7 linked regions of the Oryzias latipes genome follow. The protein of the gene in region 5 binds, or shares a complex with, the protein of the main gene of each other region. Links are inferred from orthologs where the notes say so. Each region holds a gene or a part of one and is shown on either strand. Other genes may lie near its edges.

Evidence for each region.
Region 1: pfdn2 (region 5) and polr2e share a complex: the UniProt entries of both Homo sapiens proteins name them as parts of the PAQosome complex. The link is inferred for Oryzias latipes from reciprocal best matches to the Homo sapiens genes PFDN2 and POLR2E.
Region 2: pfdn2 (region 5) and pdrg1 share a complex: the UniProt entries of both Homo sapiens proteins name them as parts of the PAQosome complex. The link is inferred for Oryzias latipes from reciprocal best matches to the Homo sapiens genes PFDN2 and PDRG1.
Region 3: pfdn2 (region 5) and pfdn6 share a complex: the UniProt entries of both Homo sapiens proteins name them as parts of the PAQosome complex. The link is inferred for Oryzias latipes from reciprocal best matches to the Homo sapiens genes PFDN2 and PFDN6.
Region 4: pfdn2 (region 5) and uxt share a complex: the UniProt entries of both Homo sapiens proteins name them as parts of the PAQosome complex. The link is inferred for Oryzias latipes from reciprocal best matches to the Homo sapiens genes PFDN2 and UXT.
Region 6: pfdn2 (region 5) and ASNSD1 upstream open reading frame protein share a complex: the UniProt entries of both Homo sapiens proteins name them as parts of the PAQosome complex. The link is inferred for Oryzias latipes from reciprocal best matches to the Homo sapiens genes PFDN2 and ASDURF.
Region 7: pfdn2 (region 5) and ruvbl2 share a complex: the UniProt entries of both Homo sapiens proteins name them as parts of the PAQosome complex. The link is inferred for Oryzias latipes from reciprocal best matches to the Homo sapiens genes PFDN2 and RUVBL2.

What each region holds. Positions count from the first base shown.
Region 1 is NC_019862.2:26,974,634-26,978,892, reverse strand, and holds the start of polr2e (DNA-directed RNA polymerases I, II, and III subunit RPABC1), read right to left. Parts: upstream 2,903-4,259; 5' UTR 2,786-2,902; coding exon 2,729-2,785; intron 992-2,728; coding exon 817-991; intron 1-816. UniProt on the Homo sapiens protein: DNA-dependent RNA polymerase catalyzes the transcription of DNA into RNA using the four ribonucleoside triphosphates as substrates.
Region 2 is NC_019863.2:18,202,442-18,206,792, forward strand, and holds pdrg1 (p53 and DNA damage-regulated protein 1), read right to left. Parts: upstream 2,884-4,351; 5' UTR 2,840-2,883; coding exon 2,756-2,839; intron 2,005-2,755; coding exon 1,929-2,004; intron 1,787-1,928; coding exon 1,712-1,786; intron 1,633-1,711; coding exon 1,552-1,632; intron 1,477-1,551; coding exon of another isoform or gene 1,451-1,476; exon of another isoform or gene 1,410-1,450; intron 577-1,409; coding exon 494-576; 3' UTR 45-493; downstream 1-44. UniProt on the Homo sapiens protein: May play a role in chaperone-mediated protein folding.
Region 3 is NC_019868.2:26,684,669-26,689,101, forward strand, and holds the start of pfdn6 (prefoldin subunit 6), read left to right. Parts: upstream 1-1,583; 5' UTR 1,584-1,718; coding exon 1,719-1,782; intron 1,783-1,938; coding exon 1,939-2,009; intron 2,010-2,097; coding exon 2,098-2,222; intron 2,223-4,433. Other genes in the region: mmgt1 (membrane magnesium transporter 1), read right to left, coding at 46-124. UniProt on the Homo sapiens protein: Binds specifically to cytosolic chaperonin (c-CPN) and transfers target proteins to it. Binds to nascent polypeptide chain and promotes folding in an environment in which there are many competing pathways for nonnative proteins.
Region 4 is NC_019865.2:33,765,922-33,770,323, forward strand, and holds the start of uxt (protein UXT), read right to left. Parts: upstream 2,823-4,402; 5' UTR 2,700-2,822; coding exon 2,602-2,699; intron 1-2,601. Other genes in the region: cdk20 (cyclin-dependent kinase 20), read left to right, coding at 3,487-3,567, 3,650-3,763. UniProt on the Homo sapiens protein: Involved in gene transcription regulation. Acts in concert with the corepressor URI1 to regulate androgen receptor AR-mediated transcription. Together with URI1, associates with chromatin to the NKX3-1 promoter region.
Region 5 is NC_019876.2:18,973,693-18,978,006, reverse strand, and holds the start of pfdn2 (prefoldin subunit 2), read right to left. Parts: upstream 2,916-4,314; 5' UTR 2,905-2,915; coding exon 2,794-2,904; intron 542-2,793; coding exon 453-541; intron 225-452; coding exon 101-224; intron 1-100. UniProt on the Homo sapiens protein: Binds specifically to cytosolic chaperonin (c-CPN) and transfers target proteins to it. Binds to nascent polypeptide chain and promotes folding in an environment in which there are many competing pathways for nonnative proteins.
Region 6 is NC_019879.2:16,672,266-16,675,480, forward strand, and holds ASNSD1 upstream open reading frame protein, read left to right. Parts: upstream 1-1,403; 5' UTR 1,404-1,482; coding exon 1,483-1,563; intron 1,564-1,853; coding exon 1,854-1,907; intron 1,908-2,003; coding exon 2,004-2,079; intron 2,080-2,193; coding exon 2,194-2,234; 3' UTR 2,235-2,244; downstream 2,245-3,215. Other genes in the region: asnsd1 (asparagine synthetase domain-containing protein 1), read left to right, coding at 2,245-3,215.
Region 7 is NC_019872.2:21,690,760-21,694,941, forward strand, and holds the start of ruvbl2 (ruvB-like 2), read right to left. Parts: upstream 2,873-4,182; 5' UTR 2,763-2,872; intron 1,991-2,762; coding exon 1,936-1,990; intron 1,765-1,935; coding exon 1,709-1,764; intron 1,270-1,708; coding exon 1,128-1,269; intron 1,030-1,127; coding exon 900-1,029; intron 823-899; coding exon 756-822; intron 651-755; coding exon 544-650; intron 436-543; coding exon 342-435; intron 1-341. UniProt on the Homo sapiens protein: Possesses single-stranded DNA-stimulated ATPase and ATP-dependent DNA helicase (5' to 3') activity; hexamerization is thought to be critical for ATP hydrolysis and adjacent subunits in the ring-like structure contribute to the ATPase activity.

The sequences.
Region 1 (4,259 bases), on a different chromosome or scaffold from region 5:
AACGGTGTTTTTTTAATATGGAGGACAAATATGACAGAATTGAAGACAGTTCCAGTGTGTCTTATATTAAAGTACAACTAATTACGGTTGCAATATTTTCTAACACTGAACCTCTTTGCTATTGCCAATAACTGTGTCTGATCTGCGAAAAAGAAAAATGATAAAAAGAATAGGAAACTGTAAAAAAATATAACCTGTTAGACTCAAATGAAAGGTTGATATTTTCAACTGAACCTTAAATATTGATGGATTACTTAAATTTGTATTTTGACTTGTGAAAGATTTAAAAGAGGAAATTGACTACAGTTGGATATGACATTTATAAAATAAATCATGTAAAAAGTGCCGTTGCGATTGGTAAGGTTAGTGTGTATTCTTCTCATAGAATGGTGTTAAACAGCGTTCAGTTGTCAGCTTTGCTCGTCTAAAACCAGAAGTACGGTGACACAATGGCGCCCATGTCTCTGTTTTGTCTGACGTCACCATGAAAAGGGTCTATTGGCTTCATTTCTCTGGAGCCGGAAGAAAGGCGACGTCACCATGGCTCAATTCTCTAATAAAGTCAATGTAATCTAATGGGAGAGTGTGTAAACAAAAAAGGGATGATGGGATATCAGCAGGGGCTTACGTCCGTGCCAACAGTGATGCCCACACAGGTTTTTATGAATTTGGCTAAAAACAGAGCATTCATAAATATAATACCACTGGGGACTCCTTTAAAAATAAATCGAAATATGATTGGAGTGTAACTTAAACTTTTGGTTATTTTATGGATAAAAGGATGAGTTCCCAAATTATTCTCAAGTATAAACCTACCAGGAAAGAAAACAAACATTTGATCAGTGGGATCATCGTTGTGTGCGACCAAGACTGTAAGGTCCGTCCGTCTGGGACGACCCTCGCTGGGTTTGTCTCCGAATTGACTCTTGAACTCCTCCAGGGTCTGGTCCAACTCATCTTGTGTTACCAGATAGCCTCGATCGTGGCAGAGCTGTGGTTAAAAAAAACAAACAACATTTTAATATGTATAGTGTTGGCCAAAGGTTTTGAGAATTACATAAATATTGGAAATTGCAAAAGTTGCTGCCTAGGATTTTATAATAGCAATTTGCATGTTCTCCAAAATGTTACAAAGAGTCATCAGATGAATTGCGTAGTCCTTCTTTGCCATGAAAATTAAATGAATCCCCCCCCCAAAAATCATTTCAGTCATCGTCTTTTTAACTCAGTTGAGAATGTTGACGAGCACAAGACTGGAGATCATGATGTCAGGCCGGTTGGGTTAGAATGGCAGACTTGACATGTTAAAAGGAGGGTGATGCTTGAAATCATTGTTCTGCCACTGTTAACCATGCTGACCGGCAAAGAAACGTGTGCAGCCATCATCGCGTTGCATAAGAATGGCTTCACAGGCGAGGATATTGTGGCAGCTAAGATTGCACCTAAATCAACAATTTATAGGATCATCAAAAACTTCAAGGAAAGAGGTTCAATTCTTGTTAACAAGGTTTCAGAGCGTCCAAGAAAGTCCAGCAAGTGCCAAGAATCGTCTCCTAATGGGTTTTAACTGTGGGATCGGAGCGCCACCAGTGCAGAGTTTGCTCAGGAATGGCAACAGGCTGGTGTGAGCGCATTTGCATGCACAGTGAGGCGGAGACTTTTAGAAGATGGCCACTTATCCACCCCAAAAACAAACATCAGGGACAGATTGATCTTCTGCAAAAAGTATGGCGAGTGGACTGCTGGGGACTGGGGCAAAGTCCTATTCTCCCATGAAGCCTCTATCCGATTGTTTGGGGCATCTGGACAAAGGCTTGTCCGGAGAAGAAAAGGTGAGAGCTACCACCTGTCCCGTGTCGTGCCAACAGTAAAGCATCCTGAGACCCTTGATGTGTGGGGTTGCTTCTCATCCAAGGAAGTGGGCTCATTCGCATTTTTCTCCAAAACCACAGCCATGAATAAAGAATGGTGCCAAAACTCCCTCCAACAGCAACTTCTTCCAGCAATCCAACAACAGTTTGGCGTCAAACAATGTATTTTCCAGCACGATGGCGCACCGTGCCATGAGGCAAAAGTGATAACTAAGTGGATCGGGGACCAAAATGTTGACATTTTGGGTCCACGGCCTGGAAACTCCCCAGATCTTAATCAATCTGGGTTGCTATCGGTCAGGATTTGGCCCTAAAGTTGATTGACAGCATGCCCAGTCGAATTGCAGGGGTGCTGACAAAGGAAGTCCAACACTGCAAAACCTGACTCTCTGCATAAATGTCATATAATTATTGTCGATTAAAAAAAGCCTAAACGTAATAAAGAGCTGATAACTATATTTCAGTACATCACAGAAACAAAAATCTAAAAGCAGTTTAGCAGCAAACTTTGTGAAAGTGTATTTAATGATTTGAAGCATTCATGTTGTCATACATGTAGTCTACATGTACGAAAACATGTTGGCTTTTTTTAATGGGTCATCATGGGTGTGCTAAAGTTAGCCTTCGTTCAAACGAGGCTAACGAATGCATCATTCCTACACATAATAATTAAAAAAAAAAGTCTGAGCGCGTAATTGGAACGACTTGCACTGAGAATAAGAGATTAACACACAAAACGTAAAAGATTTAGTTACAACTTTAACAATGGCAGTCAAAAGCGACTCTTTAACGCGAGCCACATGTGAAGCTAACAGCTAGTTCGCTGCTAAGCTAGTATATCCTTTTATTTAATCCACCTGCATTATTGTTTTACGGATCTTCCACAGCCGGTAAGTTTCCTCTTCATCGTCCATCCTTTCTCAATTTATTCTCCTTTTCGTATTTTTAAATCACTAATATTCTTCTAAAAATCCGATGGCATCGATGGTTCCTGGCTTGGCCAATATTATATACCACAATGCATTGCGTTTGATCGAGTTGACGTTTAAAAAAACTGTTCTTAAAGAAAAGTCCTCCAGGTTATTATCTTCAGAGCGAATTTATTAAGTCTTCATAAAATGTTCTTAATTATTCGGTATTTTTTTTTAACTTCGGCTAATTGGAAATGTAAATCTGAAGACAATTTACTTATGGTAAAAAAAATAAATTAAAATAAAAATTTGCTTCAGAATTAAAAATCTCTTTCTAAATTTATTTTTTACTGACTGAATTTAGGTTTTAAAAAAGCTTAGTATATTTTGCTAATAATAAATAAATATATCACCTTCTATGTTTTAATTATGACACATTTTATCTATAAAAATAGATAAAATCTTAGAATGTAGACGAGGGTCATTGAGTATAATTTAAGTACGTCATCTTGACTCTTCTTTAAATTAAACTGTTGCAGTGAAATAGAAACTGTCTTTTGGCTGTTTTGCTATTTGTTCATGTATCGCTAGTTATATCGTCATCGCAATATTGATCATTGATATCGCAGAACGCGAGTTTCCTCATATCGTGCACCTCTATCTCCTACCCCCCCCCCTTTTTTTGAACGTTTTGACCTATATTTTATTTTTATTTTTGTTTTGAAAAACCTCATACGTCATTTCCTCCTTGTCTTGTCAAGCATTTGACTCCACCCACTTGAGTTTCACAACACTGGGTGGAAATGAGTCACGTGCGCTTACAATGAACAAAATAGATTTTTTCCGATAACTGGGGCCTTTTTATTATTATTTTTATTTAAGTCGCTGTCAAAAATGAGGCCATTAATTGTTATGTTGACAGTTGGGGCTATAGCGAGCAGCGGAGCACTGCTGGCGATGGTACTGTACTTTGTTTTGTCCACCACGGTAAAGTATTTCTTCTCTATAACCTGATTGCATAGCCTAGCACAGTGCATGCGTTTCCATTGGAGTACATGTATTATTACATGTCTATGCATACGTAGGCATGTCTCCTGTTATTGTTGTGTTTTTGTCATCGTTCTGCTTAACACCTCGTAAGGAGATTTCTCCATAAGCTCATAAACCTCTTATATTTGTTAGCCAGCGAGTTCTGGATGGTTCCGAACAGTCCGGAACAGAACAGACTATAGTCACAAACGCTGGAGCAGCGCCAGCATCCTTCACTCCGTCTGTTCACTGGCACCAGCTGATAAACATATCACAGTGTCAACATTTTAGATGTTTTTTTTTGTATGACGTAAAAAACCTCTGCCTTACTTTTTTATTTTTTTTACATTTACCTTCACATTTTGTATGTTTTGCCATTTAAGAACACATTGCTAAATTCCATTTAGGTTTTTATATGAGTCTAAATACCAAGACAGCTCAGAAGAAC
Region 2 (4,351 bases), on a different chromosome or scaffold from region 5:
TCATAAACAGTGTGGTTATTTTTGTTTAGTTAAGCAATTAGATGTACTTGATAATAAATTCTTTTATTTCTTTTAAAAGATTATTTACACAAAAACTTCAGAGTCAGAGGAACATGGACATCCAAACATCTCCTTTAAAGAGAGTTTGGAAAGTGGACTTTGACCAGTCAGTACAGCCATCTTTAACTACTACAATTCTAGAAGATGTTTAATATAGATTCTGCTGCTGTCTACTAAAGGAAACAACTTTAAAACTGTAAATATAATAGATATGAACTTTATTAAAACAGTCCAGGAACCGGGTGCAAAAAAGGACATGTTTGTCATCTTTTGAACCTGCAGAAGTGTCCTGCACGAATCCCCGACAGTCCAACCGTCCAGCCAAGGTGCCTTTAATAAGCATGTTTAAATGATGTTTAAATGTGGCGCTGGAACTCAGGCCTGCAGCTTTGGCGCTTCATTCTCTCAGAAGTGACTCGAAACAGCCGGAGAATCAGGTCTTCAGGAGGCTGTTGATAGATTTGATCTCCTCAGAGGACAGTGCAGACAGTCTGTAGCCTCTGAGCTCCGGTTTACCTACAGAAATGAAGGGAATAGTTTTAGCTATTCAATAATAAAAGTTTAATTGATGAAACTTACTTTGACTTCTGAATGTTTGAATGAAGCGTCAGGGCATCTTTTCCACTAGTTGCTGTTGTTATGAGACAGTTTTACCCCTCCTGGTGCAAACATTTTACGGTACTTTATTTTAATTTGTTTGTATTTTACTAAAGAAAATGATAGCTCTAGAGACGCACTAATGATTAAAAAAAATGTTTGTAGTGACCTGGACACAGAGTAAAGGCTCCTGAACTGAGTGTCTAGAAGAGTGCATGTGCAGATCAGATCAGTCTGTAGGTGTGAGCAGGTGGAAAACATCTGTAGACTAACATTTCGCCTGCTTTTGAGTGTGCTGCCCCCTTGTGGCATTGGAACCTTACAGCAGCTCAGTCAGAGAAAATGCAAAGAAATCTGTAAACAAAGATATATTATGAGGTCTGCTGTTGTCTTGGTGTTTCCACTCTTAGCTTGCAGTATTTATTTGTGTCACCTTAGGACTCCGCAGTTACGCAACTGGCTTCAACCGGAACGACCGACAAGTACGTTGTGTAACTGAACTCTACAGAAACAGTGCAAAGCCCCAAATGAACGCTGTTAATTAATTTGTCTTGATATTTCACATTTTCACAAATGTCAGTTTAACATTTTGGAATTAGGAACCTATTTTAGCTTATTAACTTTTCTTGAGTTTTGTGAGTTTTCAACTTGTCAAAAGTAACATCCTCTGTTCCAAATGGCTACCAGTGTTTTACAGCACTTCTTTTCTTCCCAAAACCCCTTTATGTTCATCCAAAAGAGAAATGCAACACCTCTTCTCCTTCCAACAGGAGGGCAGGACCAGAGGGAGGAATCACGTTTCCCCTTCTGCTACACAGCCTGTAAAGCGTTTTATTAAAATTGTCAGCTTTAATTTTTCCTTTTTTGTTTTCTTATTTTGAAAGAGTTGCATACCTTGAATCTCATTGAGATGATTGAATTTAGTTTTCAGTTCTCTGCGAAGGTTATTTATTTCTTTATCCAGCTGTTCTTGGTCTGCAGCACAAAAGAAATACATTTTTATTTTTATGAATAAACACATAAAGCATGGAAGTGTGTTTTCTTTAAGGATTACCTTTCTGGACCATCCCTTTAGTTTTGGATTTGTCAAACTCAATAAACATGTTTCCAAAGCAAACCTTCACATTCTCTGCAAACAAAAACAAGAACATTAAGGCTGGAAAAGGCTGGGTTTGTTATTTAACAGCAGCACTTCTGACATATTTCATAAATGCAGCGATCAGGTTTTCCTTTCTTGCCTCTAAACATGACGGGACCCGGTCCTGCCTCACCTGAATCAGACAGCTCATGTTTGAGAGCGTTCAGCGCCTCCCTGTTCCGGTTTCTCTTCAAGTCCAGGTCCACTATCTGAAGAAAAGAAAAAAAAAAGAAAGACACATGAATTCATATTTACCTAATTTAGTATCCAATTTTTGGTTATTAAATGAAGAAAATGGGTCAAAGTAAGACCCTGGCTGGTGACAGCCAAAAAGAATATAAAGTGAACTAAACTAACAAAGACAGAGTGTCCATTTATGTCACAGATATTATGATCAAAATTTATAGTAGATTTTATGTTAAAAGAGAAATTGTCCGTGTTTGCTGCACTAGCTGCTAAAATATCCACTTGTAGTTTATAGAAAATTTCATTTGCAAATAAATTTCTTATAAAATCTTTAAAATGTCAAATAGAGCCAGATTGAAAGCAGAACTTTTGAATTTCTGTCTTTCTTCAAGAGTGGTATCAAGCTAATCTTTATCTAATTTCTTTTCAACTTTATTACGTTTAAGTAGAGGAAAACACTTCTTTTTTTGTTTACATCTCTGTGAGTGGAATTTCCCCAAACAGATCATCAATACAAAAAATATTTTGTTGGACACGCCATCTAATTCATAGTATAACATGACATAAAATATTATTTTAGGATATTTTTTACTCAATTTTGTGAACAGAAATTTCGATCCATCATGATCATCATCCAGGCAGCCCAACTTGAACTTCAGTATCACTTGTTTTTAAGCTAGTGAAGCGGTTCGGTGACCTCTTTGCTAGCTGAAGCTATCTATGTTAAACATGACTTTTGAAAAAAGAAACGATTTGCGGTTCGTCACAACATACCTGCTGTTTGGTTGTGATAACCTCCTCGGCTGCTTCTTCCACTTCTGTCAGGTAGTCCAGCACACGCTGCGAACCCGCATCCATGTTGGCGGTGTCGCATCTAAATATGTTCTACGAGAAACACAAGAGAAGGCGGAACGCTTCATCTTCTGCATTTTCTTGGCGGTAGGCAAACAGCTTGCTGGTCGTTACCGCCGCCAACTGGAGTGGAGTGTAAACCGGGATCTTTTCTTAACTTTCACGTTCTTACTTACATTCGAGTGGAATCTTCTCAAAAAATGAATTCAATCTTAATTTGCAAAAATTTCATAAATAAAAAAAAGCGCACATCGACCATTGCCTAAATTTACAGATACCTCAAACTTCATGTTCAACATTTCAAGGTTGTTTAAATTTGGATTTTTTTTTTTTAGTTTAAAAAAAATGTATTCATGTTTTAAAAACGTTCGAGTCTTACGTCTCAATCTAGTTATTGCTCTTTTCCTATCCTATGTTGTCCCGCTCTCATCATTTTCCCCTCTATTATTCCTTTGTTCCTTCTCCCAGTGTCTTCGTCATATTTCTTTCTCTCTTTGATTATGTTTTTATCTCTGCTTTGCTAAGACTGATCTTTAACTCAAAATCCTTTATTGGAAACTATTCAAGCACATTTAGTGGCTATTTCATCATCTTGTTTCTCTATATGAGCTGAACCCAGAAAATATCACAATGACCCGCATTGTTTTTAGTAACCCCCAATGTTTGCTGGAAATATCTGGTCTACTTTCTTATTTACAGTTTTTAATATTTGCTAATGATGAACTTAAGTCTGAACCATCTGAACATATAAGATTTCCCATTGGCCTATGACAAGCAGAATATTTCTGATGCCCATACAAACATTTGATTTCACTGCTTTTTTGGAAACTGAGGAGGCGAAATGAATAAACAGCTGTGTTTTATGCTGCGTATAGTATAAATGTTATCCAAATGTACATGAAAAGAGAGTTTACATTTTTTTGTCTCAGTATTTGCCCAAAGTAAAATTAAGTGGCTAAACCTGGACCACTGGTTCATTCATCTGTTTGCTTTATTGGGTGTGTTTGTATTTTTTTAAGTGTTAAACAAAATTTATTCTGATCATGTATTTAAAATTTAGACTTAAGCGGATGGGGGACACTGAAACATTAGACAACACATTAGATTTAAAAATATCTCAATCTCTGTAAATAAAATTCAGATTTTTTTCACATCTTCAGGTCAAAAACCTGAGAAAGATCCGTGCAGAAAGACAAATATAAAACCCAGGGTTGGGAAGCATTACTGCCTTCTGCTTGTAAATGTAGCTGTTATTTATTTTGACAAACCACAAGCTTCATAATCAAGTTATTAGGACATGAAAACAAACATTTTAAAAGATTTGTTGTTTAATTAAAAACATACAGGCTTGTCCATATTCCTTGACATGTAGCAGTTATGTAAACATACTGAAGGATTTTTCCCCTGAAACAGCTTCAAAACAATCATAAAATGCACATTTACAGATAGTTGATATCAAAAACTGAAAAATTATCTCCAGTATCTAGTTATAATAAATTATTGCCCAAAAAAGTACTT
Region 3 (4,433 bases), on a different chromosome or scaffold from region 5:
GACAAACTAGACACAAATGTCCCCGTCATTCCACGCGAAACTCACGCTGTGCCGCTGAGAAAGCTGCGTGGGCTAAAGCGAATAGTCCAACGCCGACAACACCTTTCCAAAACGACGAAGCCATGTCGAAGCAGAGCAGCTACTGCGTGCAAAAGTGTCGTAAACACGTCGTAAATACGACTGCGTCAAAAAAAAAAACGCCCGCTGACGGAATAAAACACGACGGAAAATATTTGTATTAATTCCTAAATTTACACAGTTTTTCTGTACATTCGTGGCAGTTTTCTTAGTTGCATTTTCTGTAAAATAAATAAATAAGTAAAAGAAAGTCTTTAAAACGTTTTTGTTGATTTTCTGTGATGTGTGGTTGTCTAATTTTTTTTCATTGCATAATTAAAACCAAAATCTTCCCATCAGTAACAGCGTTCGTTGTGTATTTTAGAAATTCGTTCAAAACATGATGATACGACTACTAAGTATTTTAGATTTTGAATCATCAAAACGATACTACTTCCATGACCACTACTACTACTACTACTACTACTACTACTACTACTACTACTACTACTACTACCACAGGCTTACTGTTTATTTTAGGTTTTTGTTCAAATAATAATGATGCTAGTTCTGCAACTGCTATGTATTTTAGATTTTTAATAAAAAAAAAAACCCATACAAATGTACTACCATTACAGCAACTACTACTACTACTACTTACCACTTTTGCATTTTAGATTTTTCATTAAAACAATGATACTACAAATACTACAATTTATTTCCAATCAAAATACCACTGTGGTGACAAATGACGGGATCTGCCGAGAGGTGAACAAGTTGTTCAAACAAACACACACACACGCACACAAAGGGTCCATACAAACATTTATTCCTCAACTTACTTATCTGACTTACTAAACCTTCCAAGGTTCTATTGTTTATTGATGTAAAGCAAACCAAGGCAAAACTATTGTTGAAGAATCGCTTTTCTCAAATTTCCCTTCGTGGATTAATAAAGTTGATCTTGAAAGTGGATTAATAAAGTTGATCTTAAATCTTTCTCCCAGTTTTAGGGTCACAGTCCCTGAGTGTCCACCACTTTATTGGGCAACTGCCGTCTCACTTTTTTTTTAAAACCAATTTTCATTTCTCTTGTGATTTTTGAAGGTCAGTGGCTTGATGCCAGGTATTAGCCCCTTACATGATTTATTATGATTTAATACAGAGAGGACATCAACTCTTTCCATGTTGGAGATCCCCTTAGACTGATCAGAGCTGGTGGACCAAGATTTATCCATACCTTTTTGAATGAGATGTGGCAGCAATTAATTTTATTTTTAAATGTTATGTGTGCAATTCAAAGTTTAAAATATCTATTATCTTCTATTGTTCGACTATGAGAATAATGTAATAACTTGTGTGTATAACTACTAAGTCAAAAAAATCCTAATCAAATAAGATATTTTTCAAATTTCATGCAATTTCTTCATCTAATATGATATACATTGGACAGAAATAGAAAATATTTGATAAAACTCTTCTCTTGTACGACTGCGGAAACTCCGATTTTCTGGATGGCAGTGAATCTTTCACAACTTCCGCTAAATCCGTCGCTCCTTCCGGTTAGCTAGCGCAGTTCTCCCATTCTGTGTTGTTAGCTCTGAAACCTCTAGATACATTTATTTAACGTTTACACGGTTATTACAAACAAGTCATAAAACATGGCAGATGCAATTCAAAAGAAATTAAAAGCGGAATTAGAAAAATATTCGCAGGTGCAGAAAGGTAGGTACCTGTTAGCTGCTAGTGTGCCATGATGTTGTTACCATCGGGCAGCAGTTAGTTAGCCATGCCTGCACCCATGTTTCAAATATTTAAAGTAACTTTGAGATTTGACGTATTAAAAGAAATACAACTTACAAATGTCTGTTTTTTTTTCAGATGTGAGTAAAAGTATGTCCGTCAGGCAGAAACTGGAGACGCAGCTGACAGAAAACAACATAGTCAAAGAGGTACACGCCTAACCCTTAACAACATGTTTTTGTCCATTAGATATCTTTATGTTCAGTTTGACTGAAGATGTGACCTGTATATTTCCAGGAGCTCGATCTGCTGGACAGTTCTAACACCATTTACAAGCTTATCGGTCCAGTTTTAGTGAAGCAAGACTTGGATGAAGCCAAGGCCACGGTCACAAAAAGACTGGAGTACATCAATGGAGAAATGTAAGGAAAAGAAATACAAAAGAAAATGTATGGGATGCCCTAGTTAAAATGATATTTTCAAGCTTTAGTTTATAATATATAGCACTTACTATAAGCAGAGACGTTTATAGTCATTTATTTGTAATGAAATATCAGCCACAGAAGCTGGAAATCTAGTTTTTATGGGTAGTTCTGAAAATTCAGGATAGACTTGAACATATTTCGTCGCCATGGTAAAATTTTGACCACAAATTCTGAGTTCTACCTTGAATAAATAGAGAAACAAAATGCACGACGAGAACACCTGATTTAAGCTGTCTTTATAGAATATAGAATCACATAATTTGCCTTAAATTTACGCCATACCTTGAACCTTTTAATATTCAATTTCTACTGATACAATCTTATATCCTAAGACTGACAGTTGAAAGGTGAAGGCTTAATTTTTGACCTGAAACCCATAATTGTAGTATTTAAACATATAGACATTTTAGCAGACAGAAAACTATCTTATATCTTTACATTATAAATGGGGTCCAATGTGCCCCAGATGAGTAATTAGTCAAATTTTGGGGGAAATAAAATAATATATTAAAAAAATGAATACAGCTTTTGCTTTAAAATTAAATTAACAGTGTTGCTAAGTGATTATATCAGGTATTATGTTGCTTCATTCAATAGAAATATTTCTTTTTTTCATTACTGTGACACACTTTATGCTGGGGAAAACAGATGCATGTCACAGATATGCTTGTGTTTTTTTTTACATTAATATATAATAAAGACTGTACTCATAGTTTCTTTTAAATTAATGGAAGATGAAAAGTGGCTGATGAAAAAAGGGTTGTGCAGAAATAAAAGTTGACCTTGGCTGGTTGTACCTTCAAAAAAGAAATAAATGGGATCCCACAGCTGTCCGTTTGGGGCCTTAAATTAATTATGTCATATAATATTTACATGTTCTTAAAGTTAAAATAGTTTTATATTTGCTGTCCATGCATCTGAGATACTTTTGGACAGGTTTTTTCCCCATAATATTATATTTCATATCATTATGTTTGTAGTTGTTAAATTGTTTGTTCAATTAATACAAACTATCATTTATTTTAAACAAATGAATAGTAATTGTGAATAAATATTCTGACATTAACCTATTTATTAGCTTTTATCGTCTCATTATGTCATTTAGGCCTGCACAATATACCGCAAATTTATCGTTATCGCGACATCAAGCTGTGCAATATGCATACCGCAAAAGACGGCGAAAATCGCAATAAATGGTTACCTTAACCCTTGTGCTATCCTAGGCACTTTAACATTGGGAGTTGGGTCATCTAGACCCACTAGACAGTGCACTGAACAATTTTTCTTCAATAATTTGTGATCTTCACTGGTGTCCATGGATTACATGAAATCTTTCCACCTTTGTCCACCTTTGTCATGGTAGGGAGAACACGTCAATGTAAGGGGGGGGTCATCTAAGATAGCACAAGGGTTAAGTGTGCTAAAACAAACTCATGGCAGCTTGAAATATTGAACAAATGAAATAAATCCCTTTATGCATTTAACCAATCGGAAGGACCCGTTTACGCTGTTGATCAATCAAATGAGCCCTTTTATGTTTGATGTTTGCCTCCTACGTCGACAAGGGTCATTTGGAGTATGATTTTTATACTGTTGCATTGAAATGGAAATTATGTTTTTGGTTGGTTTGACATTTGTTTATATACCGCAAATTATATCGTTATCGCAATATTAATCACCAATATCGCATATCGCGAGTTTTCCTCATATCGTGCAGCCCTAGTGTCATTTGTATTTCATCTTTTAACGTCGGACACTGAAATCGTAAAGCAGTTTGTATCTTAAATCTGTCAAAAATGACTTTAGCATTAATCAAAAGGAGGATTGTGTCACACTATTTTAGGTTCTTGTTTATTTATTTACATATCTATGTTGTACAAGTATTTTGCCTGTTATTTTCTATAGGTAATTCTTTCTTCAGTTAAAACAAGAATTAGCTTTGATATTCTGTACTGTGTTGTAAAAACAAGTCTTTTGTTTTTACAGCAGCTCATTCATCCTGTTGGAGATTATTATTGAGCGTTTTTTCTGTCTTTAAAATTGTATTTTTTCTTAGACTTCTCTTTATAATACTGGTCACGTGCTTTGGTTACTTCAGGTGTTATTCTTGTCTGGGCCAGTAGGAGGCAGTGTAAGAATTGAAAGTAA
Region 4 (4,402 bases), on a different chromosome or scaffold from region 5:
GCACCAGCAAGCAGCACTGATTTGATGCAACGACATGCAGATTGTTGAATTCACTTGCACAGCAATTCAAATGAAAGGCCAGAAAGAAAGTAACAATTCTCTTGCAATTTTCCAAATAAGTCCGGCAAGCGCTGGACTTTTTTCAGTACCGTCCCAGTGTAGGTACCATAACAGTTCGGCCTGCAACAACCGTTCAGGGTCCTTCGACTAGTGCTGACGTCACATTATGTGATGACTGTCTGTTGGTCCAATGACGTGTCAGGTAGTGATTGGTCTGGACAAATGACAATACTACCATAGAAGAAGATATTATACGGTCCGTTGTAAACAAACAGAGCTCCGACACAGAGCGACATTATCTTCTAAACGTGCTTTTAATATTATGATTATTATTAGGTGCATTGCAGATGAATGGACTGCGTTCAGAACCCTTCTCCAGACCGCACACTATGACAAAGCAGCTTCCCTGCCTGTAAACACGAAGCTACGAGACTCCAGCTGCTCTGCTCAGAGACAGGGTTCACTCTGTGGAGCAGCAGGTTCATTCTAGCAGCCACAGATCTTTACAAAGGGGGTTGTGGCAAAATCTCTATAAACACTACAAAGAATAATGTCAGACACAACTTAAGAGGGAAAAGAACTTTATGTTATAAAAGGAAACGTGAAATGAGAATATGTAGAGCCCGAGCAGATCTCCACGCTACGTAGTTTGTCCAAGTGGGGCTACCGTAATGTGACATCATCCTCAGTCGAAAGGACCCCAAACGGTTATTGCAGGCTGAATGGTTATGCTACCTACACCAGCTGCTGTTGAACAAAGGCGGCTAAAGCCTGGACAGTCTGTCCCAGGGCCCATGGAGCTGGAGCGGTTGATCTCACTATGCGGCTCCCAGGAGGCGAGCTGGGGGCCAGACAGAGACCTGCTGCAGGATGGGGAGCCAGCCTGCTCTGACCTCCTGAACTTTAGGTTTTCTTTCAGGTCTCTCTATATATAACATATATATAATCTCATCATCCTCTCCCTCATGGTGCAGAGACCTAAGCATAGTAGGACAAATAACTGGGCAAAACACAATAAAAACAGCTAAACAACTAAACACATTTGGTCAAAAAGCCACACTTAAACCCAAATCCGTCCAGACAGGCAAAGGGAATGCTATCCCACAATCCCTTGCGGTGCCGATCTAACAGCAGCACCAAAGTTACACCTACTCAATTGAATTAATTTGAATGAAAGTAAAATAACTGTCTGACAACTATGTGTTATTTTTAAGTTGACTGAACTGAAAAAAATTATTTATCTTAACTGAAGCAAATAATGAAGTTAGATCAAAGTAAAAAAGTTTATCTTTCCAACATCCATATGTGGTCTTATCACCCTCTCATGGTGTAAAAAGTATTATCTGAGCTTCTTCATCCACTAAATCATCTTCAAATGGACACGCCATGCTGCTTCACCTCTCTGTAAACAAACTAACCTTCAACTAAACCTGCTCCAGACCAGGTTATGTTCAGAGCATGAGTTGCTATGGCAACTTGACATAACCTGAAACATACCTCTATTTCTGGAACTGAAAGCTGAGGTTATCAACTTCCTTAGCCTCAAACGTACCGAGGGAGCTAGCATAACCTGCTTTCTTTTTTTTTTTTTTTAATAAACTTTATTGAAGATATACAAGATACTCATTCAAGTAAATTTTAAGTACACAGATAAAAAAAAAGAGTAACAAAATGTGCCAGGGGAACAAAAGAACAAAGGAGAAGAAAGAAGAAAAAAAAAATTATAAACAAGAGCAGAAAAAGCAGTAAGTTGCTATTCTGTACATTTAAAAAAATTCCAGGGTGTCAAAGGTTCTTATAGCTTTGGGGTTGGAAGAATGTTTTATTGCTTTGATATATTGGTTCAACTCAATCATAAAAAGTTTGAATAAGGGCTTTTTTTCAGAAAATTTGCATTTATGTATGTGGAATTTGGCTAGTATTATCAAAAGGTTAATTAAATAGTATTCCCTTCTTAGTGAATTATTAACACTATAAAAACCAAATAATATATCCTTGTATACCAAATCAAATTTTTCATAAATTTAACATCGAACAAAGGAGGTAAGGTCTTTCCAAAAAATTGCTGTTGGGGGGCATTTCCAGAAAAGATGTATAATTGTTTCAGTGTCTAATTTACAAAAGGAGCAATTTTTATCAATGTCTATGTGTAATGAGGATTTGGCTGGGTAGCATCTGTGAAGAAGTTTAAAACAAACATCCCGGGGTTTATTTGAAATAAAATATTTAGAGGACAAAGTCCAAACTTTCTTCCATTCAATATCTGGGGCAATTTTTCTCCAATAGTGGGTGCATAACCTGCTTTCTGGAATACTCCCCTGGGCCTTTGTGACGTCACAACACCGCATTAGTTCAAACAGAGCGTCTTTGAGACAGTTTGATTGACAGCGGTTTAAAAGGAGAAACACTCAGAAATGCAAAAATGAAACCATGTCTAATTCCATTTGTTGTATTTCATAAGACAAATACCACAATGTCACAAAACATGATTTTCATCAGAGGGGGACTTTCAGAACCGGAGCAGAACCCAGAGGGGCTTACCGCAGGTCTCTCCTCAGAACTTCCTCGATGAATCTTTCATACTGAAGGACCTTCTCTTCCATCCTCGAGTCAGAACCGGCGTCTGTGGGCGGAGTCATCGGGGATGGGGGGCTAATGCGGGGGCTCTGCGGGCCGGTTCAGCTCAGACACTTGTAAAGAAGTTCACAGCCCCACATGCAGTCATCTAAACAAGATTCTGAACCGGAAGTACTCCGACAAGATACTTCCAGGTTTCAGCGTAGAAGAGGAGCAGAAAAAAGAACATTTAATTTCTTTTTATGTTTAAAGCACTTTGTGCAAACAGTTGTTATTTGGTCATTTTCACTTACATTTATTCTTCCATATTCTACCAGATATATAGAACGTGGCAATTATTCATAAACTAATTCCCGGGTTAAACCTTATGTGAATATGAATTTTAAAATATATATGTTTTTGTTTAATGGCTGGTTGTGCTAATTTTATTTATTCTTCTTCGTTGTTTTATTTTCGTTGATTTGGATTGTCCTGTGATGACGTCACTGTCAACAAACATGGCGGAGAGCTGCGTTGACTATAGTTGAAACGTTTTCAAAATATCTCGTCAAGTGCCAAAGGACAGCGCACATTTGGTGTCGCGTACATGTCATCAGCTTTACGCATCAAGTAAATATCCAGCACTATACTAAATATTCAACGATATACTAAAGTTTCGTAGTTTTATTTATCAGATGTGACCGAGGCAACATCAGCGCCCACTTCCGGTCTCGTTCCGTTCAAAATGTCGTGCTTATTTTGGTTGGACGCGCCGGAGCCCCGCTCTTAAAACCCGTGGACTAAAAACCGTTAAGTAAAGGAACAAGTCCAAGTCCATAAAGATCCCCGCTGCAGCTGCAGGGGTCCTGGATGATCATGGAGCAGTACAGCATCCTAGGCCGGATTGGAGAAGGGGCTCACGGAATCGTGTTTAAGGCCAAGCACGTGCAGGTGAAACATGTTCATGGAGCAGAAAAAACAGACACCTGAACAGGTGATCATTCAGGCTGATGGATGAACGTGTTTCTGACAGACCGGGGAAACTGTGGCTCTAAAGAAGGTGGCTCTGAGGAAGCTGGAGGACGGCATTCCCAATCAGGCTCTGAGGGAGATCAAGGCTCTGCAGGAGATTGAGGACAACCAGCACGTGAGTGTGTACAGTCGTGGTCAAAGGTTTGGAGAATGACGTAAATATTGTTGGAAATTGGAAAATAATTGCTGCTTAAATACATATAATAGCATTTTGCATATACTCCATAATGTTATGATGATCAGATGAATTGCATAGTCCTTCTTTGCCATAAAAATGAACTTAATCCCCCAAAACTCTTTCCACGGCATTTCATTGGTGTCATTAAAGAACCAGCTGAGATCATTTCATTCATCGTCTTGTTAACTCAGGTGACAATGTTGACGAGCACCAGGCTGGAGATCATTCTGTCAGGCTGATGGGGTTAGAATGGCAGACTTGACATGTTAAAAGGAGGGTGATGCCTGGAATCATTAATCTTCCATTGGTAACCATGGTAACCTGCAAAGAAACGTGTGCAGCCATCACTGTATTGCATAAAAATTGATTCAAAGGGGAGGGTATTGTGGCAACTAAGATTGCATCTAAATCAACAATTTATAGGATCATAAAGAACATTTTTGGAGAGACGCCACTTCTCTCCAAAAACATTTCTGATTGCTTGGGGAATCTGCAGAAAAGGTGAGCGCTACCATCAGTCCTGTGTGACGCCAACAGTAAAGCATCCTGAGACCATTCATGTGTGGGGTTGTTTCC
Region 5 (4,314 bases):
ATAAATCAAATGATGATCAGAGTAAGACTTTAATGTCCATTAGCCTGAAAAACAGCTTCCTGTGATAAATGTTAAAGAGCTTTTATTTGTTTATTTTCACCTGTTCTTTGTTGTTTTCCAAAGCAGGTAGAACTTCTTTCACCGTCCTCTCTACCAAAACCCCTCCAACCAGGCGATAGCATTTCCTAGAAGGGTCCACTTCCTTAAGAGTTTCAATAACTAAACTGAACACAAAAAGAAAAAAACATTAAAATTATTACTCTTTTACCACTTACCAGTTATGTGACGAGGTGAGTTACAAGATGTTTTTCTTTTTTAAGTTTAATGTATATAAAGTAAAAAGGTCAATTTAACTACAGACCAACATGATCCAATTAGCTGTCCTGCTAACAATCAAACATAAAAAGTGAGTATTATAAAAGCTCTCAGAGGAGAAGTCATCAGCTGCTAACCTGTGCTCATTGATGTCCATCTCCAGCTCTGCAGCTTTAGACGCCATGCTGCGTTGTTCCTGACGCATCCTCTGAAAGGTGGCAACCACCTGAAAACATCACCGCAAAGCTGGCATCAATGCAGACCAATGACATTTGACGCATCCGTCTGATCCCAACACAAGCATGTAAGCTGTTTCAGACTGAGGGGCTTTCAGGCTGAATAAACTTACCAAACCTTAAAAGGAAATTGTGACTTTAGAGAGTTTTTTTTTTTACCCAGTCCCTTTTGATCCAGTCCGCTTAATTTGTTCCGGACCGAGTTCCGAACCTTGCGTTAGGCCTTTATCAGACTGGCGTTAAGCGCCCCATTCTGTTAGCGACCAAAGCTTATAAACAAAACAATGTGACTAAAGATCTCTTCAGTCATTGGCCAGGAACTACGAGGGCAGATCAAAACAAGAGAAATGTGGACGTGTGCCGCTTAACAGTTAAATTATTAAAATTTTATATTTTTTTCGATTATCAGTTTTGAACGTCGGGAACAAGCCTTTTTATTTGTTACTTTGGTACGGCAAAGGCATGCTGCGAAGCGGTCAGTGGCAAGGAGACGTGCTGTGTGTGCTTTAACTCAGAGCATGCTAGTAACTGCATTGATGACGAGACGTCGGGTATGAGTAGGCTGCCACGCTCTCTCCTCTCTGAGGGGCAACCGCATGGTTGCGATAAAGAGCCCTGGAGTTTGGCCTGAATAGAGCCGTCACCACAAATATTAATCAAATCGGTGACTTCGCTTCCCTTCCACTGACTGGTCTCAGCAGCATCGTCCGCCATTGGTTGATGTTTATGTTCTTGTTCCCGCCTACTTCAACGAAAAATGATGATGTTTGCAGCGTATCAATGACGTACGGGTCGGATTCATGTGGCCTGGACGTTCAGACGGAGGTCGCATTTGAAATGATCGGATACATATCGGATTCAGGACCACATACGCAAGTGGCCTGGGTCGCATTTGAAAAGATCGGATCTGTGTCGTTCAGACTGTCATGAAAAGATCAGATACAGGTCGCATAGGGGCAAAAAACAATCAGAATTGTGTCATTTCAGCCTGCAGTGAGATACAATGTGTTTCCCATTAAAAATGATTTTAATTAGCCTGCATTCATCTGACCACATTTCAATGAGTTGCTGTGTCTCATCATTGTGGTTTTAGGGCATTGTTTTTAGAGAATTCTGTTAAGGAAACTATAATATAGCTTTTAGTCATGCCACAGGCGAATGCCGCGTAACAAGATACAGAAAAGCATGCAAGTAGCCTTTTCAGCAATGTTAAAATAAACGTTCTAACAAATAAACACTTGAACTCTTTTTTTCTGTTTGATAACACGATAATAATTGCTTATTTGTCCGCGGCTCATCTGTAGCCACATTCCTACTCTGTTTATGTCAGCTATGGTGGCCATTTAGGTTCAGTGGTATTCAGATTGAGGAATCTTAGAGCGAACCCGAGCTCAATCTGATTGGAAATTAACCAAGACCACCTGCAAAGATGGGTCAAGGTCCCAGACCTTAAAGTGAACTCTGGTTCAATTTAAGCAGACCAAATGCATAACCTTCTCCATGTTAATGATTTCAAATTGTTTTACTTTTTTTATATATAATGTATGTACCATTTTTTTTAGCTTTACTTTCTTTTTTCAATCAAGAGCAATTTATAACTTAGAATATGACTTCCTAATATGACTTAATTCACAGTATTCTTTGAACCTGTATGAAAATATTTAATTTTGACCCCAAAATTTTTTGAAGTTCATATGTATTTTTAATGTTATTTTTCAACAAACATCGAATAAAGATTAATACATTTCAACATTTGCCATTTTTATGCTAATTTGTTCCTATAGTGTGTCTACATGTTATTGTCTATCACTAAGACGTCGCTTTATACTAATAATTTGGCAACGTGTTGAAACAGTTTTTTTCTTATATGAAAGGCTTCCGTAGCCCTTGAGCTGTGCATAGTTGTTGACTGTCTGAGTAGTAAAAATAGCATCATCATGCTCTGTCAGACCCATTCTGAGGGCCACACCACCCACATACAGAATGGTGTACCTTTAGTTTATCTTTGACGTTATCCCATTCCATGATGTGCAAATAGCACAAATTGGACCTAATTTCATGCTCACAATTTCTTTCCCCTCGCATGGGTCTGACTGCAAGACACTTCTGTGGCCACGGGGAAGCTAACGTTAGCGCTGACTGGCTGTACGTCGGTTTAGTTACTTTCTGCTGAATATATACGAATAATATGTCACAATCTCAGGAGTACCGAGACAAAAGACTCCGCTACTCAATAGGATACCTGTTCGGCTGACTGCGCGGGCTGTTTTCCAGCCGCGCTGCTGCTCGATTTGCTGAACGTGCTGCTGTTGGCTGCCATCTTGATAGAGTGCACTTGAAGGACCCGACCCATGTGAAAGTTTTTTTTCACAGGCAGAGGCAGTCTCATGACTGCCTGTGTAAAAATACATCTCTAAATTCCTTTACCACTCACTACACAGTGCACTATACAGTGCGTTCGCAATTTTGTAATGCTGTCCGAATCTACAATTTCAAAATCCAGTTCCTAAGAAATTTCTCGGAAGTCTCTGCAAATTAACCAGTGTGCATCGACGCTCATTAAATTGGCCAACATAGATCAATGACAATGCATTGCGTTTTGAACATTTTTTGCGAAAACAATGTGTTGAAATGCTTTTTTTTAAACAATCAATATTTTTTTTATTTCAAGTACGCAATGAATTAATAAATAGTTGTTGTAAATTGCTTGTATTTACGACGGAGTATGTATTGATCAGATTTTCACTTCGTGAAATCGGTAACGTTATATTTCCCGTTTTAAAAAAAGAAAAAAAATAGTGAGGATGGTGTCCTAATTGCTTTTAAAACCCACGACACTATATCGTTTTTAGTAGTTGGTGATTAGGTTGGAAATTCGGACACAGCACTAAGATCAAATTGATCCTTTTTTTTAAAATGGGAAACAAGTTAAATTTCTATCTGCCCCCCACAACTGTAAGTAAGTAAGTAAGTAAGTAAGTAAGTAAGTAAGTAAGTAAGTAAGTAAGTAAGTAAGTAAGTAAGTAAGTAAGTAAGTAAATAAGTAAATAAGTAAATAAGTAAATAAGTAAATAAGTAAATAAGTAAGTAAGTAAGTAAGTAAGTGGGTAAGTTAGTAAGTAAGTAAGTAAGTAAGTAAAGGCTTATTTGATCAGCTAACAATTGATTTCTACCACGGGGTTTCACTAGATTGTGCATTGGCCAATTAGAAACTAAAATGCATTATTATTATTATTATTTTGCACATGTTTTACCATAAAATCCAAGTAGAGTACACAAGTGTAACATGTAAACATTTTCCCTCGAACAAATCAAAGGATAAAACAGTTTAACTTCTTTTAACAGAATAATCAGCCTGACATGCTACAATGACATAAAATTTAAAGAAAGAAAGGCATTTCTAATTTTAAAAAGTTTCTGCTAATTAGAAATGATCATTTCAAAAGCTTTGGGTAGTCTAACTGTTTTATTTATTTATTTTTTCATTTTCAGCTAAAATGTTCAACTTTTTCCTGTAGAGACCAAATGTATATCACTTCGCTGCATAACAATTTGACCCTATGTGATTGTTGCCACAGTGTGATAGCAAACAGCTTCTGGTATAATATTAACCAACCTTTTCTGTATGTATTTTTAAAAAAAGTCTTTCATTTAAAAATAAAATGAAATACCAAAAACTTTTTTTAAATATCTCTATATATTGTTGTATTTCAAACACTTGTGATTTTTCTCTTTACTTCTTACAATACTTCATATCGTAAAT
Region 6 (3,215 bases), on a different chromosome or scaffold from region 5:
CAAGAAATAGCCAACAGTTGAAAACTGTTTTAAATCAATTCAGTTTAAGACCAATGTAGAACTTTACACAGGTGTGTTTGCCTAGAAACAGTTGTGTTTGCACTGAAAAGGTGTTTGACCCACTGCTGAAGAAAAATCAATCACATTCGTGTCATCTGTTGATCTCTACCAACAACTGCAAACTTTATTTTTTTCAATAATAATAGATCACCAGCAGCATAAATAAGGAAAAATACTATTTTAGCTTTCTCTCCATCTTAGGAGCTTCATGGCACAGTTTTGACTCAAACTGAAGAGTAAAAAAAACAAAACAACTATGAGGTATGCAAAAGCTATTTAAATGCTGAGAGACTTCAAAAGAAAAAAGGCAAAGACAAGGTTGAAATAAGCTGCAGAGTTCAGCAGGTATTTCAACATTCATTTTTTTTTGGTTGTGTGATCTTTGAGCAGGGAGGTGGGGGTTAGGTTGAAACTGCTTTTAAAGGGGGTTAAGCATCTGTTCGTCTACAGACAGATCAAGTCAACAAAAAGCTTTAGTCCCCGAAAAAATGCACTTGCATGTGTTATTTTTAATTTGATGATTCAACATCAGCAGATGAAAGCATGTCATATTATAACTAAAATATAAAAAAGCTAAATTATCTTAAGACAAGGCAGGTTGGTTTGTCTTCAGCCACTACTTTAGTTTAGTTTTACAAGTAAACAATGAAAAAATACTTTTTTAACTAGAGATACTGTTCCAGCCTAGCAACAATTGGCTGGAGGTGTATTTCCCCCCAAAAGCAATATTTTAAGAAGTGTTTCTGGGGTTAAAGTAAAGGGTAGGGTTAACAAAGGTGCAGCTTTCAGAGGCTCTGATGTCAGAAAAAAAAGGAAAAGAAAAAAAGGAACAAGACACAGACAGTTAATTGGGTGTTTTTAAAGACTACTTAATAGCTTCAGGTGGTTTTGAAAACTGATCAAAAATGATCAACATATCAGATGTGCAATGGATTCATTATTTAATTTATGCTTAATTGATTTTATTTAATCAGTGTTTCTTTTTGTTGCTTTTTTCTTATATGGAAGTGTCACTTTAAATGAAAATTAAAACCGGGTAGAAACAGAAAAGTCTAACTTCTTCTGTCTCGAACTTGCTTAGCTGATTAAATTTTAACCCAATTCCGTTTAAAAAACTTTTTTGTAGTAGCCCAATACTATTTTTTTAGTCTTAAGAAAGTAAATTACATCAAATCTGTTATTTAAAGACATTCTTATTCAATCTGTGTTTACCCCTTGGTTACCTATAATTTGGCAGGCCCCGGACCCTGAGATGTGTAGCGGGTGTTTTACAAATCTGGCCTCTAGGCGGCAGTGTGCTTCGAACTCCCCACCTATTTCTTCACCCGGAACGGTTATGACGCATATCCGGACATGTTTGTCGCAGAAGTAGACGCTGTTAAGAGAAAAATTAGATAAAAAGTTTTCCCTCGTGGCTCCTTTATGAAAATGTCTTCAAAAAAATACAATAACAGCGATAATTCCCAAGAGCAAACCACATATAAAGAGGAACTCAGTAAAAAGGTAACTTTATATCAAAGACGCGCTACTGTTAGCTGGCTAAACAACACGGATATGTTTATTCACCTTTTTCAGCATGTATAGTAGAACGGAAAAACGAATAGCAATACTTTTGTTAGTATTTACGCACCAATAGTATGTATTTACTGTTTTAATAAGTTTCGATTTTCTCATGTTTGCTGGAAAAATGAAGGACTGCTGATCTTTAAATTAAAACTTAACATGATGGGATACATCTCCTGATGGCTTCATCATCATAGGGTTGTTAACGTTAACTTGTTGCTAATTTCCAGATCAAAGAGCAAAAGGTCGTTGTGGATGAACTCTCTAACCTAAAGAAGAACAGGGTACGGTAATTACCTTTTTACATCCATCCATCCATAAATCCATCCATCCGTCGTAATAAATTCATTTTTTATTGATTTTTTTTTTCTTTTCTTCAGAAAGTTTACATCCAACAGAGAAACAGCAACATTTTCTTCCTGGCTGACAGAAGTCAAACATTGTCTACAAGCAGAAGTATGTGTTAGTATTCATTTATCCTCTTGCATTGAAATTTTTACAATGTTGTACCATACTACAATATAACTCACCTTTTTTTTTTTAAAACTTTTTTTATTTTTATTCTTGCAGAGGAACTGGATTACTTGAAAAAAGAACTGCAGGATATTTAGAGCTGCAACAATGTGTGGAATCTTTTTCCAGTTGACTTTGTCAGCTGCTCAATTTGAGAAGGACAAAAGAATTTATGAATTTCTGAAGAGAAGGGGCCCCAACTCTAGCAGGGAGCTATCGTTTCCTGCTGTAGATTTGAGCTATCACTGCTCATTTTCTGCCCATGTTCTCCATATGAGAGGCCTCCTTACTCTTCAGCCGTTTCAAGACGACGCTGGAAATGTCTTGATGTGGAATGGAGAGGTTTTTGGAGGGATTTCTGTGATGCCAGAAGAGAATGACACCACTGTCATCTGTCAGAAATTGTCATCTTGTAAAAACTCTTTGGAGGTTCTGGCACTTCTGTCTGCCATTCAAGGGCCTTGGGCATTTGTTTTCTATCAAAAGGCTGAAGATTATCTCTGGTTTGGGAGAGACCTTTTTGGAAGGCGCAGCTTGCTGTGGAAATATGACGCCGAGATCAGTGTCTTCACTTTGACCTCAGTGGCAGCTGGGATTTCTGCGCTGGGTCAGTCTGATTGGAAAGAAGTCCCAGCTGTTGGCGTGTTTAAGGTTGATGTAAAGGCAGCTGCACAGAGTGGTTCTGTGTCCTTTGAGCTTTTTCCCTGGGCAAGAAATGTCATAAACCCATCATTGAGTGAAATGATGGTTAACTCTGTCCCTAGTGGGTGCAATTTTGAGATAAATCGAGCAGGTTTATCAATCACTTCACCTGTTTGTCCTTTGAATATGTCCATTCCAGAAAAAAAGGTTGAAGTTAATCCCAGTTCACAGGTGTCTGGAGGAAATCTAGAGGAGTTTCTAATCAGCAAGGAGAAAACTGAAGTTGTGAACCGTCTAATTGGTGTCCTGAGTGAGGCGGTGAGGCGACGAGTTCATTCGTTGCCTTTTGTGGCAAAAGATAATTTACCTCTTAGCAGTGGCCAGGCTAGCATTGCTATACTCTTTTCAGGAGGCATTGATTCAATGATCCTCGCTGT
Region 7 (4,182 bases), on a different chromosome or scaffold from region 5:
CTGTTTTATAGAATGAAAACAAAGATCTGATTGTGACAAAAGATTGATGTAACTCTGGTAAGATGAGCACATTGTGTAAAGAACAGAGAGGGGATTAATTGACAAGGTCAACAGCCAATCAGGACGCACAACACAGTGCTGTAAAAAGAAAAAAAAAACGTGCAGAATTGCAGTAAAAGAAAGCGAAAGGTGAACTGTGATATAGCAAGGGAACCCTGAAATCATAGTATTCATTATAATCTTCAAGTGATAACACTTACAGAGGCTTCAGGTGGACTTTGTATTTGACTATAACCCAAATTCAAAGTATGGTATTCAACTGTCCCATGCAGAGATCTTACCTGGGCTCCCATGGCGTCGTAGTCTCTGGCTCTAGTGAAGGAGCGCCCCAACTTGGAGATTTTCCCGGTGGCTTTGTCAATGGTAATAACATCACTAAAAAGTGTGTTTAAAGACAAACAAGAAAAGCTCCATTTAGATAGGACTGAGAAAAAAACAAAACCCAAACCTTTATATTGCTTTATGAGGAGAAGATGAACTCACCCGGCTTGAACTTTCTCTTTACTGAGGCTTTCAATCATCTTGTTCCCCAAGTCATATATTGTCTCCATCTCTGTAGTCTTCAGAGTCAGCTTCCCCACCTTTGCACCCTGATTAAAGCAAACCAGCTCAACATGAGGCGAATCAGCTAAATAAATCAACGTTTTCTAAAGCTATGGTATGGAAAGACTGTTTATGAAGTGAAAGGATCTTACTGTTCCAGTGGCGGGTCTGTCAATCTGGATTTCTACCACCTCCCCTTCAATGATTTCTGTCTCCTCTCTGGATTTATGGGGGGGAAGAGAGCGGACTTAATTTCTATCCAAAAAAAACAACCTAAACCTTGTTTATATACTTACTTGATTCTCACTCCTATAGCTTTTCTAAAAGCTTGGCTCAGTGCTTCAGTTTTGCTCATTTCCAGGGAAAAGATCTCACTTCCAGCCAGAGCTGTAAAGGGGGTGTCAGGGCCCAAAGACTGAGCAATACCTGTAGATGAAAGAAAAACATGCAACAAGCCTCAAATAGCCAACAGAACTTTGCCTCAGGTGGAAACTTGTATGCATCATTTCTGGTCCCATGCTCACCCATAGCAATAGCCGTCTTCCCCGTGCCCGGCTGGCCAGCAATCAGAACGGCCCTGCCGGCGATGTGTCCGTCTTTGATCATCTCCAGGATTATCCCTGCTGCTCGACGGGAGGCCAGCTGGCCGACCATCCCCTGTGACACCTGCAGGTGAACAGGGAACTCAACTCGTTCAGCAGCAAATATGCCTCATTCGGATTTTATCCTTTGACTTAAGGGACATTTTGAATGCTTTAAACAAGCTGCTAAAAGACTTTCCTGTTGGAATCACAACATGTGGGTTTAGTGCTGACAACAGGGCTTTAGAATCAAGTCTCGCTTTGCTACTTGACTACCTCTATACTGCTTCATGTTGTTTCCACACACAACAAAACATTAAAAGGTACATTCGAAACATTTTAACCTCTCAAGTTTAACAGCAGTTTAAAAATATCCAAATATGTTTTCCTCTGTTAAGTTTTTGCCTTTTTAAAGGACATGAATTACAAAAAAAAGCCATAATTTTATCAAAACTACAAACACCTAAAACTACTGAAGTCTTGGGTCAAAACAGAGATCAACAAACAGAAGTGCTGCACGTTACCTGTCTGGGCTCCAAAGCATCGTCCAAACCAAGGCCCCGAATGTGAGAGTGGGCCCCTAACCACACAAAGATGAAACTATTACACAAAATATTACAAACATACGGGAAATCATAGCAAAAATAAATACACACAGCTCATGTAGAGATAAGGCATGTTCTAAAGTTTACCATTCAATTTAAGCTTACCATTTATTTCTAAAGTGTTGAAAATCTGCATGGGGTCTTACCTATTCTTTCAATCCGTGTAATGTCCCGAACCTCTGGCACTTTTGTAGTTGCCATCTGTAGAATAATACATCAATGACAAGAAGAAAACAAAAAAATGCAAAGAAACATTTTTAAAACAATTTGCCTCATCGTAAACAAAAGAACAAATATTTTCAGAGGAGTTTAGGCCTTCGTTGATCTTTGACTAAATCTTAAGAGCATTTTTTATTGTTTGTTTAAAAATCCTGCTTATGAAAAAGAACAGCAAGAATTCCTTATGTGTGTGTTCAAATATCGATGACACTTTTGGATGTTTATCGTTTCCAAAGAGAGTTAAAATTTGCATCCTCCATTCACCAATGTTTTAGTGTTTTCCACATAGACTTTGTCAAAGCAATATAAATGTGGAATTCCTTTTATGCTCCACTTGTCCTGTCCGTTGTCATAGTGACAGCAATGAATGACCACACACAACACAACAGCAAAGCTTAGTCAACACTCTTTGACATTTTAAAATATATATACGCATATTTGTGAAACATATCTAGGAAGGAAAGTATTAGTAAATCAGGTTTAGAAAAATTGACACTTCACTGAAATTAGTTTATTTTCTAATATGAATACGGGGGGAGAAAATCGACAGGTAACATCAGCTAACGATATTAGCAAACAAGCTAGCATCATTCACACCGTTCATAACGCAAAACAACAGCACACGCCATATTAGCCGGGTAATAAAAGCCTGCATGACACGCGGAAGTACTTAAAAATAAATTGGCTATACTACTTGGGTGAAAATATTAAAGTCCAAATTGATTTTAACATCTACTACAAACTCAGGACTCACCTCCGCAGCCACACTTAAAAAACGTGAGAAGCGCCGCTTCTTTCTCAGGGAGTACTGGTTAAATGTGTCCGACAAGAAACATGCGAAGCCGTTCAGTTCCGCTACTAGAGTTTATTGGGACTGCCCTCTATAGACTCAAATGTGAATTACAAATCTGGCGTAAAAGCCCGGATTTGTTTTTGAGATGAAAGCTACGTTTTTGTCTTGATCGTCACGATAATGATAACCTGAAAATACTTAAATACTTCGAAATTATCTTTCTGTGTGTCAAATTTACTACCTAACAAATAATGTTTTTGGCATTTTTGATACCTATAACTATTAGAACTGAAATTTTAAGCATTCAAATACAGATTAAAGATTAGAAAGAAAAATAAACTCAGGTTGCTAATAATTTAAGACCTGGATTGCAGTCATCTGAACAAAATAAAACCAAGGAATCTAAAATTGTAGTTTAAAAAAATACTTTAAACTTAAAGAAATGCATAAGAAAACGTCACATTTTAAACAACTTATCATGCTGTTACCTTGAAAAAAAGATAATTAAACCTAAAACATCACAAATATTCATATATTTATTTCCCAACAAATGTAAAAATATGATCATGCATTAAAAAACATGTACTCCCTTAATATGCACTGCTTTTATAATGTGTGCTTGAAGTCCTTATGGTAATTTTCTCTCTTTATCATGACTTATATAATCCATAGGTGATCTCCTGAACCAAAACTGGTCAGAGAAACTAAGAGGTTTCAAAAACTTTCCATTTTGACCCAAAAGAAACCCTGTTGGTTTGCAGAGGATGTGACTAAACCTGATTAGTCTGAAGAAAAGCCCAGCAGCACTGCACAGATTTTTCCACTAGAGGATGCAAGATTAATGTTGTGCAAGGATCCTCATATAGACAAAGTTATAGTAAGAGATCTACTAATAAACCAAAGTTATAGGATTGATGACAGAAGCCACATGAAACTAAATGATGCTTGTAGAGATATTTCAGTTAGAGGGAGTAAGTGTAAACAACCCCTACATAAGGTATGAAGTGTAGGAATGGGTGTTGTTTCTTATTATTTACCTTGTAAAAAAACTGCATCTCCCTTTTTTATTTGCCAAGTCTGAGGATAATCTCTTTATCCTCAGAGAAATTGTTGAAAATGTTTAGACGAAATAACTCGAAGGAGCAGACCCCTCTGAAGTGCTACAGAGGGGGTCTTAATATCCTTTCCATAAATCATCAAATTCAACCCTCAAGGCTGAAGGGTTCCAGATCATAATGTTTCATTCAGGAAACAGATGGATGCTGAAAATGACAGGTTCTTCAAGACTGAAATGAAAGAGACAAGGATGAAGCAAACTCATCGTTGTTTCATTTCAGGCGTCAGTTGTTGGGTGTGGCAAACAAGTTCAGCAGCACCCACT